Linked DNA regions of Caenorhabditis elegans. The protein of the gene in region 2 interacts with the protein of the main gene of each other region in a pairwise test. Each region holds a gene or a part of one and is shown on either strand. Other genes may lie near its edges.

Region 1 (6,302 bases), on a different chromosome or scaffold from region 2:
CTGTTGATCCATCTCAACTCACCTCCATCAAGGTTGACACTGATACCAGCGACATGCTCAAGGCCGCTGTAAGTTTTCAAAAAATTAAGATTCAGTTATGGGAGTCCTGAAAGCTGCTTTGCCGGTTTTCAGGCTTTCCCTATCCAAAACGCTCGTTCGAGTGTTTCAGTTCGGTATGTCGAGGCGTTACCGGACGGAAAATATTTAAAATAAAATCCTCGTCATTTCAGGGATTCAACCTTCCAAACGTCACCGTTGAGGATCAAGGAAAGAACAAGGGAAAGTAAATATTCCCTGTGTTTAATTGTTATTGTTGTGGTGGATAATAAATATTTAATCTGCCAAAATGTGTTCTTTTTACATAGCTGATCAATTTCCAGATATATCGAGACTTGATGTCATTCCTGGATGAATCGTCTAATGGTGTTAAACCTGATTTGATTAGTGGTCTCTTTGTCGTATTAGAGTGGATGAGTTCATCCAGTTGTTGAAAAAATGTTCTTATTGTGAAGAAAAACTAATTCGTAGGCTATTAGATTTTATTTTATTTAACGGAAAACAAATAGTACACTGAAGGCGAAACATAAACTTTAGGAACTTAAGCGTCGTGATAACGACTGTAGAGTGCTTGCCGCGTCTTCTCTTTGTGACTCGCTTCTGCACCATGTCTCATTTTGGATCCAGCAGCACCCAAACCTGCTCCTTGAACAAATCGTTCAGCTTCAATCGGGTTAACAATACCTGAGAAAAACCATAATATCAAGCTTGTAAGCAATGTAGATTTACCTTGTGCATGCTTTCCAACTCCTTGTCCTTCTTTCCAGCCCATACTTTTCAGCAGTCTATTTCCGATGTTTGATTCGTCTAATGGGCGCTTCGAAGCTTCCTCACTAACTTTTCGGATGGTCTCTTCATGTCTCACCGATGTGGGTCCTGGCGGCCCACCCATCACATCGAATGCATAACCAGTGGAATCAATCCCGAACTGACGACGACGTTCTTTGGCTCTGTCCCTGTAAACGATCTTAGGGAGATCTGGAGCTGAAGCATCTTCTTCTTCTTCTTGTAATTTAGCAGCTGTTTCTCGTCCCCATTCGGCTCGCTTCGCTTCCAAATTGTTCTAAAAAAACTTTAACTAAGATTCCTGTCTAAGAACAAGGAAATAACTTTTAAACATACTCTATGCAAATCACTTTTTTCAACATGTTTCCGAAGTACTTCAACATCAGAGAATGCTCGTTTGCAGAGCATACATGTTTTCTTCGTTTCATCGTAAAGTGCTCTTTCCATAGCATCTCTAACATCTTGAAGAGTGGATTTCCGAGGAGCAAGTGGAACAGATGAAAATGAGGATGAAGTAGACGGTTCTTCAGAACGACGACCCCGAACTTCTTCCTCTTGATCCTCTTCTTCGTCATCATCAAAAAGTGCTGCAGTCTGTGCTATTCTTTTCTGTTTCTCTGAAAATGTTATTGATAAAAAGAAAATAGTTAAAATAAAGGCCATTACCATTAGAAAATACATTTTTCAATTCAATTCCTTTCGTCTCTTTTCCTTTTATAGAAATTTGAACTTTCTTTTTGTCTTTTTCTTGTCTCTTAGCCCATTTTGCCATATCTTTCACTAAATCCTGAGCTGTTTTTGGCCCTTCTTCGTTTTTCTTCATCTTTTCCTCTTCGGGGTCAGCTGAATTGATTACAGCTGGGGTTTCAACTGGGAAATAAGTATGATGAGTAAGATCCCAATTACACCATTGTGAAGTTGCATTATTGAAATAATAACCAGTTGCTGAATCGTAACAGAATTTTGTGATTGGATCTACGTAATACCCAAGATTCGGATCATGAGCGAATGTAAGCGGATTGGGTGGTACTGAAATGTTAATAATAATTGAAAATTAATATTTGAGCTTTTCCATACAGTATCTTGGCAAAAGTCCTTTCGGAGTCTGGGTCATTCCAATGACTCCATTTTGATGTTCCGGTTGAGTGGCTTGCATTGGAGGTGGAACAGACAAATTTGGTGGTGGAACACTGAAGTTTGGAGGAATCATATTAGCAGCAGGTGCAGGCAATCCAGTCATCTGAAATAGAGTTTTAGAATTTTCTATTAGAAATGTAACTTACAATTTGACCAACTTGTTGACTAGCTTGGCGCACAGCATTTGCTTTAGAAAGGGCAGCTGCAGCAATTTCAGCTCCAGTCACTAAAAAATTATAAAATTTAATATATTCTCTCCCATCAAACTCACTGTTTCCTTGAGCCAGACTTCCGGTAGCCACAGAATTCTTTCCAGGTCCCGCGGTTAGCATGGTCATTTGTTGTTGAATGAGTTTTGACATTGAATCACGACACCAGGAAACTTGAACTGAAAAAATATGGTAAAATCTTGAAATCAGCAAAAAACATACCATCTTTATCCTTAATTCGAATGGGCGATTTATATGTCAAATTGAGTAACATTTTTGCTTCATCCGCACTTTTCATTTGCAAGTACGCAAACCTTTTGGATTCCGACAATTTGATCATGCTAATCGAACTGAGACAAACCAGAGCACCGAGACTATCAAAAATAAGACTATTATTGATACCATCAGGAAGACCACGAATTAGAAGAGCTGAAAAATCAATTTGAATGTGTATGACAACTAAAGAAATTTCACGGACTGTCGCAAGGTGTCATTCCGACCATATGTGCTCCGAGTTTCTCAAGCTCCATTGACTGATCCTTTGAAATTTCACACTTGAAGCAGGTTTGACGCTTTACAAAATTGTTCATAGAGCACTGAAATTTGTTCATATTTTGATAATAGCTCAATTTTCTCGCGTACATGAGCACAAATCCAATCATCCCCTTTGTTTCCGGATCCAGCAGCAGGATCTCCCTTCGCATATTCTACAGCCAGAGTTCTTCCGTCATCCAGAGTCAACCATCCCTGAAAAGCGGATTTTGCATATAATTCAACTGAAAACCGTTTTGTACCTCGTAATCCGTCATCCACTGTTCTGCAGTTTCTCGATTAGAGAACTCAACAAAAGCAAAAGTACGAATTTGTTTTGTATTTTTATCGAATTTTGTCATGGTGCGCACGTCTTGAGGAAGGTATCCACATTTTCCCAATGAAAGTGTTATCTGAAAAATCTTTTTTTTTTTCTGAAATTTCAGCCGAGAAAACTATACCTTCGTGTTGTCCACATCATTTGGCATATTCAAAATTGCGAGTTTATTTGATGGAACTCCAGGATTCCAATCCGAATATCGATCATTATTTGAAAGATTGCTGCGGCGATCATCGCGACGCGAGTTTCTATCCTGAAAAAAAACTTAATTACTTCAATATTTTACTAGTTTTAATTTGAGGTATCATATTGTGTAACTGATTGAAAACCTTTTGAAAGAAGGTAACATCGCCATCGACCTGAAATTTAAAAGTGTTCAAATGGATAAATTCAAATTTTTCGACAAACAATTTTTATCAAGCTTGTCAAACCTCACGGATATCAACAAATTACGAAATCTTAAGAGCGCAATTTTCAAGAATTTAGAATATTTTGGAGAACAGATTTCATATGCCCATAGACAAAACCATACTCACAAGTAAACACCATAAATGACTACCCTTTCTCTATTTTTTCACCTACCCTTTCTCTGCTGTAGCTTCTGGAGCGTCGTCGTCTGGAGTGGCGGTTTGACGACGACCAATGAGAGGAACCATTTGCAGACGAAGGTGGTGAACGGCTTCGCGAGTGACTTCGATCTACAATCTCATCGAGAATTAATCTCCAGAACTAAATAGGAGTATAAATTCAGCCAAATTTCAGCTCAGTTGGTTGATAATAGGACCTCTTCTACGACGGCTGCTGCGGTCATCTCGGCGATCACGACTAGTTCGACGTCTAGATGGTGATCTGCTTCTGCTTCTACCTCCGCGTCTATCGCGGCTCCTGGAACGAGAACGTCTTGCTTCACGCGCCCACGAAGGTGACCGAGAGCTTTTATTTTCTCCAGAACGAGGTATAGAAATTTCTGGTTGCGTTGCCGGTGTCGTCATTATAGGAAATCCTGGTGGGGGTTGTCTGAAATCCGGAAAAACTGGCCGAGTTTGAATGACGGGAGGCGGCTGGTTGAAGATTGGTTGTCTGGATTATTTTTAATTTAATCAATAATTAATAACTTGTCAGATAATTCGAAAAATATGTAAAAAAACGGATCTGATTAAATATAATAAAGACATTTTAGCGTTCAGTCGTCGATAAAGCTCCTTACTTTTTTTCTTCATTCAGCCGGTGGATCGCTTGTTCGGTTTCTGCTAGACGTGCTTGCATTGCAACCAAATCAGGTCTTCCAGTGGTGTTGTGAAACGAATTGGCAACCTGCTTTAGAACAAAATTAACATTAATTTTAAAAGTTTGAATTTTTCTGCAAGTCGTATTCTCAGATCACAAACCCTCTGTTCTTCGTATTGTTTGTAATAGTCTTCCATTTGGCGCTGATGGTCGGTAGGATCATAGTTACCCTGGAAATTTGAATTTGATGGCAACCAGTATAGAAACATAGTTATACTCCACGTTTAATTTATTTTTTTACCTCCTCATTTTGAACCCTTTTCCCGTCATCATCAGCGTTGAACACAAAAGGTAGCATGTTCACTTGAAATTTTCTATAAATTTTCAGATATTTTAAAGTTATATTTAACACATTTTGTAGTTCTAGAATGATTTATTCAAAAACAAATATAATATAAAACATTTTGCATTGCAATAAAACGTGTGAAACCAAGAAGAATCGATGAAAAAACGGAGAGCGAATGTTTTCGGACATCACTCTTAAAGGCGCGTAGGAATCGGACGCTTGACAGGTCTCGCATGGAAGAGAAAGAGCGGTGTAGGTTTACGAGTGACATTATTTCATTTCTTCATTTTCAGGAACGTCTCTTATAGTTTTCCTGAAATTTCCATATTCTTTTTCAAATATAAAATGATTTTTAAGTTACTTTGCTTCCATTATATACTGCCGCGTGTCTATTCTTCCAATAATTGGCTGAAAAACTTTTGTTTTATTGTAAAAAGCTCCATTTAAATTCATACCTCTCTGCAAATTATCTCTATCATAAGGACAAACAATACAACTGCAAAAAAGCTGAACACAATCAGACCATCAGTAACTAATTGATCAAAAAAATTGATTTTGTCGAAGAGTACTTGTTTTTCTGAAAATTTAGTCGAAACCTAAAGAGTCCTCCCTTTTTTAGTTTTTACCATGACTTTCAAGTAGTTCGCATTATTGCATAGAGTGTCTCGACAACAACACGATTTTATTTCATCGAATATAAAAATTCCATTTGTGTCCTGAAATCACAGGAATATGAAATTAAATGCCTGAGGCGTTACCAAATTGTTAATAAATTCTCGTTTGTTGGACGTAGGAGAGCAAAGAAAATTTGTTCGCCAGTGTGTAGTGTTCATACATCCACTGTAGACAATTCCATCAATTATATCTGTCTTGCAAGCCTGTTACAAGTTAATTTGATTATGAATCGTTAAAACTCTCACATTGAATAGCGAAGAACCTTCAGTGCCATAGCATTTTTGTCGTTCTAGATTGAATTGTCCATTGAGAATATTTTCCACTGGCTCCGAAATGTGATAACACTCGAAAGCTTTCTGAAAATCATAGTTTTCCAGTAATTTCTAACTCGATTATTCACATATTCACGCCACTGATACGAATATTCGAAACAAATTAACAGACACAATACAAAACTCCACATTTTAAATGAAATATACCCATTTTCTTATTCGTAATGCCTGATCTCATGTCACGCAAAATTTCAATATTTCAAATTCAGTTTTTTTTCGGATGACCGATCCGGATCGTCTCAACCAAATTCTACAAGATCAACCATACATTGAAGGGTGAATTTTTGTAAATTGCATGAGTATTGTATTAAACGTGTGATGTGCTTGTAAAACTAGTATTTAGAGGTTTGTTCTAAAAAGTAAAAATTGAAGGTTCGTGCAACCATCGGCCGCCGATTTCTCTGCGAGAGCTTCGATAACAGAAAAAGAATTGAAAGGGCGAGAGCATTTGGAACGCTGGTTTCAGCATTTATCATCTTTTGAGTAAGATATCCATATCTAGCTTCTTTCATTGATTTCTTACTGTTTCTTAGTTTTAACTTCACATTTTACTCAAGTTTACATAATTATTTTTTTTAGAATGACTGCTGAAACTGATGTCCGATCAACGGAGAACCTACCCCAACAAATCCTCGATTTCCTTCAAGAATCGAATGAATTCA
Region 2 (4,870 bases):
TTTTCATCGGATGGAAAAACAAGCCAAAATGGTTCAATGAATTCATTGGTAAGTAATTTTCAACAAATGTTTTTTTTCTTCATTTTCAACTTGTCAATTGTACCGTATTTCAGACAGCTCAACTGTTTTCATTCAAAAGCTATTCATGGTTGTCGACGAGGATAAGGAGGATTAGAATTTCTAAAGTTCAACTTTCGGTCTCGGGTTTCTTTTTATTTCATTTGTCAAAATTCAATTTTTCAAAACTTCCACAATCCACCAGTATTCTTTTTATCTGCGTTTTTGTTTCACTTTGTCATCCGAACATCATCATTTTATCATTAAATTCAATCAAACACAAAAAATACATTCACAGTTTCGACGAGGCTTTAATTCTCTTTTTTCTTTTAATTTTTCGTGAAATATCGTGAAATAAATTTATTTCAGTGATTATTCTGAAATGTTTATTCAAACAGCAATTGAGTTCCTTTCAAGAAAATAGTATCAAAGTTAGCTGTTTTCTGAAAAGAGAAAAATAATTTAAACAAGTAATGCATTTTATGGTGGATAGCTTTGTAACTTCACAGCTTTGTATCTGCAGAAATGTTCAATACATTGATATAATTATATGCAAATAAAAATTCCACAATAAAACTGACACACTAAAAAAATCTAAAACTGTTGGCACTTATTGAAAAGTTGAAACAGTATATATATATTTTTCCGAATTTTCGTTTTTTGAAGAAATTGATCAGAAATATTTTAAAATTCGAATGGGAGAGTTTAATACTTGGCTATACTAACAAATAATGAATCAGAAAACATTTGAATATTGTGTAACACCAAAACTTCACATACTATCGTAACAATACATTGTTGGTACTTATGGGAAAGGTGAAACAGAATTTTTTTTTGAATGTTTAGTGGTGTCAACAATGGAATTACACCATTTAACATAGAAAAACAGTTGGATCAGAAGCTGCAAAAATCATATCATGATTAATTGCCGGTAACTGAAAATTGGAACAAGTTTGAAAATAAATTCGATCTTTGACCATGCTTCCATCATTTCCAGTTAATTTTTTCAGTAACGGAAACATTAATGATTCACAATTTGAAAAGATAAAAAAGTTAACAGAACGACGATAAATTGCAAGATGGTCCACATCAAAGTCATAGTCGTCTTCGGGATTCTGGAAAAAATTATTGTCAGTAAGTAATCATTGCAGTTTGAAGTCTTGAAATGATTGAAAACTTACATAATGCTTTTTCAATGATTTTTGTAGTAATATTTCAGCAATTGCTGTAGACTTTGCGTGAAGTGGAGCAATTAATAAGTCAGGGATGTGGCCATCTTCATTTTGAATTTCACGAAGAATTGAAATTCCGACGCAGCTTCCTGTGTTCTAAAAATTTCACAGATATAATTGTTTTGCAAATATTGTTTCCAAAAATACGAATTTTCAAAATATTGCATGCAAAATTATTTTATTTAACATCCGGCAATGTAGCAATGACCCACAAACCTCATCAAATGCGGCGACAATTTGACAATTTTCATCGCTTTTTTCGGAGAATGCTTTCCAATTTCTTCTTTCATTTGTACATTCTTCTCCAAATTCTCTGATCCTTTCCCATTGATCTTCAGTGTTGTCTGAACCGAAATTAAGAGATATTCCAGATTTTTTGTCCTGTAAGCATTTGTAATGTATGTAGTTTACCATCAGAATTTAAAAACCTTTAAATTAGCAAATCCGCTTGAGTTCTTCACTCGAACTCTTCCTAATTTTCTCATGGTCCTTTGTTGCAAATTGAATTTGTTGACAGTTGGTAGAAGATACGAAACTTTAACAATTCAAGATTACTTTCAGAGTGTATTATGTAGAATGACTTACTCGCGTTGAAAACAATATTATCTGTGTTTTTGAGTATTTCTTCCATCAGGATTGATCCAATTCCAATATGACGAAAGTCTTCTTGTACAAATATTGGACCAATAGTAGAGAATCGATATGAACTACTTTCAGAAAGTAAAACGAGACCCAAAACTTCACCACCTACAAGAAAGTAATTGAGAACATTTTAATAATTTTCATAAGTTTACTGACGAATGTTTTTTGCGGTGAGAAGTTTGAGCTTCCCATCGTTGTTTTCAAATAGTCTTTGATACAGCAGAAAACTACTTGAATCTACAAGAAATTCATTTCGATACCACATTTCATTTGCCATCTGGAACATATTATACTTGAATGCATAAAGTTGAAACTTAAAACAAACGTACCTCTCTCCATTCTTCGTTTCCTCCCCATGATAACTTAAACCAGTATCCATTTTTGGTATATCTACCAATCCATGGATCCCCTGCATTTTTTGGGAATCCTTTGTTCACAGCAGATTTCATCGGGTACGGAAACCCAGTTATTGGATTCATTCTATCGATTAAAGAATCAATAGATTCAAGATCAGATTCGGAAGGCCACATATTTATAAAAATATAGTAGAAAATATTCTACAAGTTGAATAGAAATCAATGAAATGACACTCCAAGAATTGAACCTAATTAAATTTAATTAGCTAGGAATGGGGTGGAAACTGTATTAGATAGAAGGCAATTCAAACTAACAGTAGGAAACAACAATATGAAGATAGAAGGCGACTCGTCATCGAGAATTTAGTATACATATGCATTCCGTATTAAAATGGAAATCAGTTTTCAAAATGTATCACATATATTTTAAAAGTTCACAACAACATTAGAACCAGCCAATATTCTATCTGTATTTGGTTTTGTGTTCCTTTCAAGGTTTTTGCAACATAAATATTAGAAAATTGAACAAACTCTTTTTAACGAACAACTTGACATATTTTGGTCAAAGGCGAACCCATGGAATTTCAGCCTATAGCATTTTCCAAAAAAAACCTAAGAGTATTAAACACCTTGGCCGGCACTGTACATCAAATTTATTTATTTATTTATTTCAATACGATTCCATATGAATCGTGTCATTAGAAAAGAGTGAAAAATTAAAAAATCAGTTACCGCTTGCTCCCACCAAAACGTCACTACTCCACATAGGAACACAAAATCCTAGGCATAATTTCAATATTGACATCCTACCCATCATCTCCAGTTCCTCTGTTAGAGACCTCGGGCTTATCACCGATGATAGATTGTCGTTCTAATCGCATATCAATAGAACTTCTTTCCTTGCACTTCTTACAAGGGCAAAACAGATCTTAAAATCCTTCCCCTGTGGTTCCACTAAATACTATGTTAACTTGTTTAAAACGTATGTCTCACCAATTCTTGACTCCCACATTTACTCCCCTCCTCCTCATTCAAAGCTGTCAGGTGCATTAGAATCCGCTCTCGAATACTACTCAATAATAGTACTACAACGTAACAATATACAATACAAAGCATCAGAAGCATCACATCTTTATGTTGCAAAAACCTTGAAAGGAACACAAAACCAAATACAGATAGAATATTGGCTGGTTCTAATGTTGTTGTGAACTTTTAAAATATATGTGATACATTTTGAAAACTGATTTCCATTTTAATACGGAATGCATATGTATACTAAATTCTCGATGACGAGTCGCCTTCTATCTTCATATTGTTGTTTCCTACTGTTAGTTTGAATTGCCTTCTATCTAAAACAGTTTCCACCCCATTCCTAGCTAATTAAATTTAATTAGGTTCAATTCTTGGAGTGCCATTTCATTGATTTCTATTCAACTTGTAGAATATTTTCTACTATATTTTTATAAATATGTGGCCTTCCGAATCTGATCTTGAATCTATTGATTCTTTAATCGATAGAATGAATCCAATAACTGGGTTTCCGTACCCGATGAAATCTGCTGTGAACAAAGGATTCCCAAAAAATGCAGGGGATCCATGGATTGGTAGATATACCAAAAATGGATACTGGTTTAAGTTATCATGGGGAGGAAACGAAGAATGGAGAGAGGTACGTTTGTTTTAAGTTTCAACTTTATGCATTCAAGTATAATATGTTCCAGATGGCAAATGAAATGTGGTATCGAAATGAATTTCTTGTAGATTAAAGTAGTTTTCTGCTGTATCAAAGACTATTTGAAAACAACGATGGGAAGCTGAAGTCATTGTGGGGATAGGAGATGTGGGAAGATTTGGATTAGGGTAACACGTTGGAGAGTTCAACTTTTAATGGAATATTAAATAACCTGAAGACTATGAAAGTTTTGTTTTCACGTTTTGAAAAATATAAATATTTCCTTTCTGAACTTTTCAAAAAAAAAGTTTATATTTCTGTTTCCAGGTCGATTGATCTATTAAAAAATAAACCCTCGCATGATAAGTTTGAAGTGCAAAAGTTATCAATTACAGAGATTTTAAAAAACGTCGCACCACCGGAAAAGGGGCTTATCACACATTCCACAGATCACGGTAAAGAGCTCTGCCACAGAAGTGTGCCGATCAAATTGTTTGTGTTGGTATTTTCATAATGTAAAAGTTCAGGACAGAAAGATATTAAATGGTCAAACTTTGAACATTAAAAACACACATTTCAGGAGAAACAAATTTGAAGATATTGCCATACATGTCGCGAATACGGAGAGCAATGAACTCTCATTTACTCGACTTAACTATAATTAAACTATAAAAGACTAACAACAAGGCTCGACACACCTCACACATCATCAGGACGACGCGTCACCCCGACACAACTACCAAGATTCTCGATAAACGCGCCAATCAATAAAGGAGAACGCTTTACACCAACTACGTGAACTTCTCGACCTTCGACGTGGATTGCCCCCCCCCCCCCTCCGGATGAGCAAAAGAAGAAAGAATCAGTACTCTCTCATCTTGTCTACCCCTCGGTCGTTTTGTTTCGGATCA

Evidence for each region.
Region 1: the proteins of F27C8.2 (region 2) and rbm-5 interact in a two-hybrid assay, tested with the Caenorhabditis elegans proteins (one large-scale study listed by BioGRID).

What each region holds. Positions count from the first base shown.
Region 1 is NC_003279.8:6,214,134-6,220,435, reverse strand, and holds rbm-5 (RNA-binding protein 5), read right to left. Parts: upstream 4,664-6,302; 5' UTR 4,646-4,663; coding exon 4,589-4,645; intron 4,518-4,588; coding exon 4,449-4,517; intron 4,378-4,448; coding exon 4,268-4,377; intron 4,141-4,267; coding exon of another isoform or gene 4,078-4,140; coding exon 3,845-4,077; coding exon of another isoform or gene 3,819-3,844; exon of another isoform or gene 3,759-3,818; coding exon 3,643-3,758; exon of another isoform or gene 3,314-3,642; coding exon 3,182-3,313; intron 3,134-3,181; coding exon 2,984-3,133; intron 2,937-2,983; coding exon 2,832-2,936; intron 2,786-2,831; coding exon 2,668-2,785; intron 2,619-2,667; coding exon 2,412-2,618; intron 2,369-2,411; coding exon 2,252-2,368; intron 2,207-2,251; coding exon 2,127-2,206; intron 2,084-2,126; coding exon 1,921-2,083; intron 1,873-1,920; coding exon 1,510-1,872; intron 1,461-1,509; coding exon 1,180-1,460; intron 1,121-1,179; coding exon 787-1,120; intron 742-786; coding exon 599-741; 3' UTR 524-598; downstream 1-523. Other genes in the region: rps-17 (Small ribosomal subunit protein eS17), read left to right, coding at 1-68, 231-287; T08B2.15 (Activin_recp domain-containing protein), read right to left, coding at 5,166-5,210, 5,260-5,349, 5,392-5,511, 5,554-5,664, 5,709-5,771; fars-1 (phenylalanine--tRNA ligase), read left to right, coding at 5,861-5,916, 6,013-6,123, 6,220-6,302.
Region 2 is NC_003282.8:9,594,739-9,599,608, reverse strand, and holds F27C8.2 (N-acetyltransferase domain-containing protein), read right to left. Parts: upstream 3,254-4,870; 5' UTR 2,462-3,253; coding exon 2,261-2,461; intron 2,209-2,260; coding exon 2,088-2,208; intron 2,037-2,087; coding exon 1,875-2,036; intron 1,825-1,874; coding exon 1,718-1,824; intron 1,671-1,717; coding exon 1,506-1,670; intron 1,386-1,505; coding exon 1,239-1,385; intron 1,173-1,238; coding exon 930-1,172; 3' UTR 522-929; downstream 1-521. Other genes in the region: aat-1 (Large neutral amino acids transporter small subunit 1), read left to right, coding at 1-48, 114-175; F27C8.3 (T2SSG domain-containing protein), read left to right, coding at 3,756-3,956, 4,009-4,053.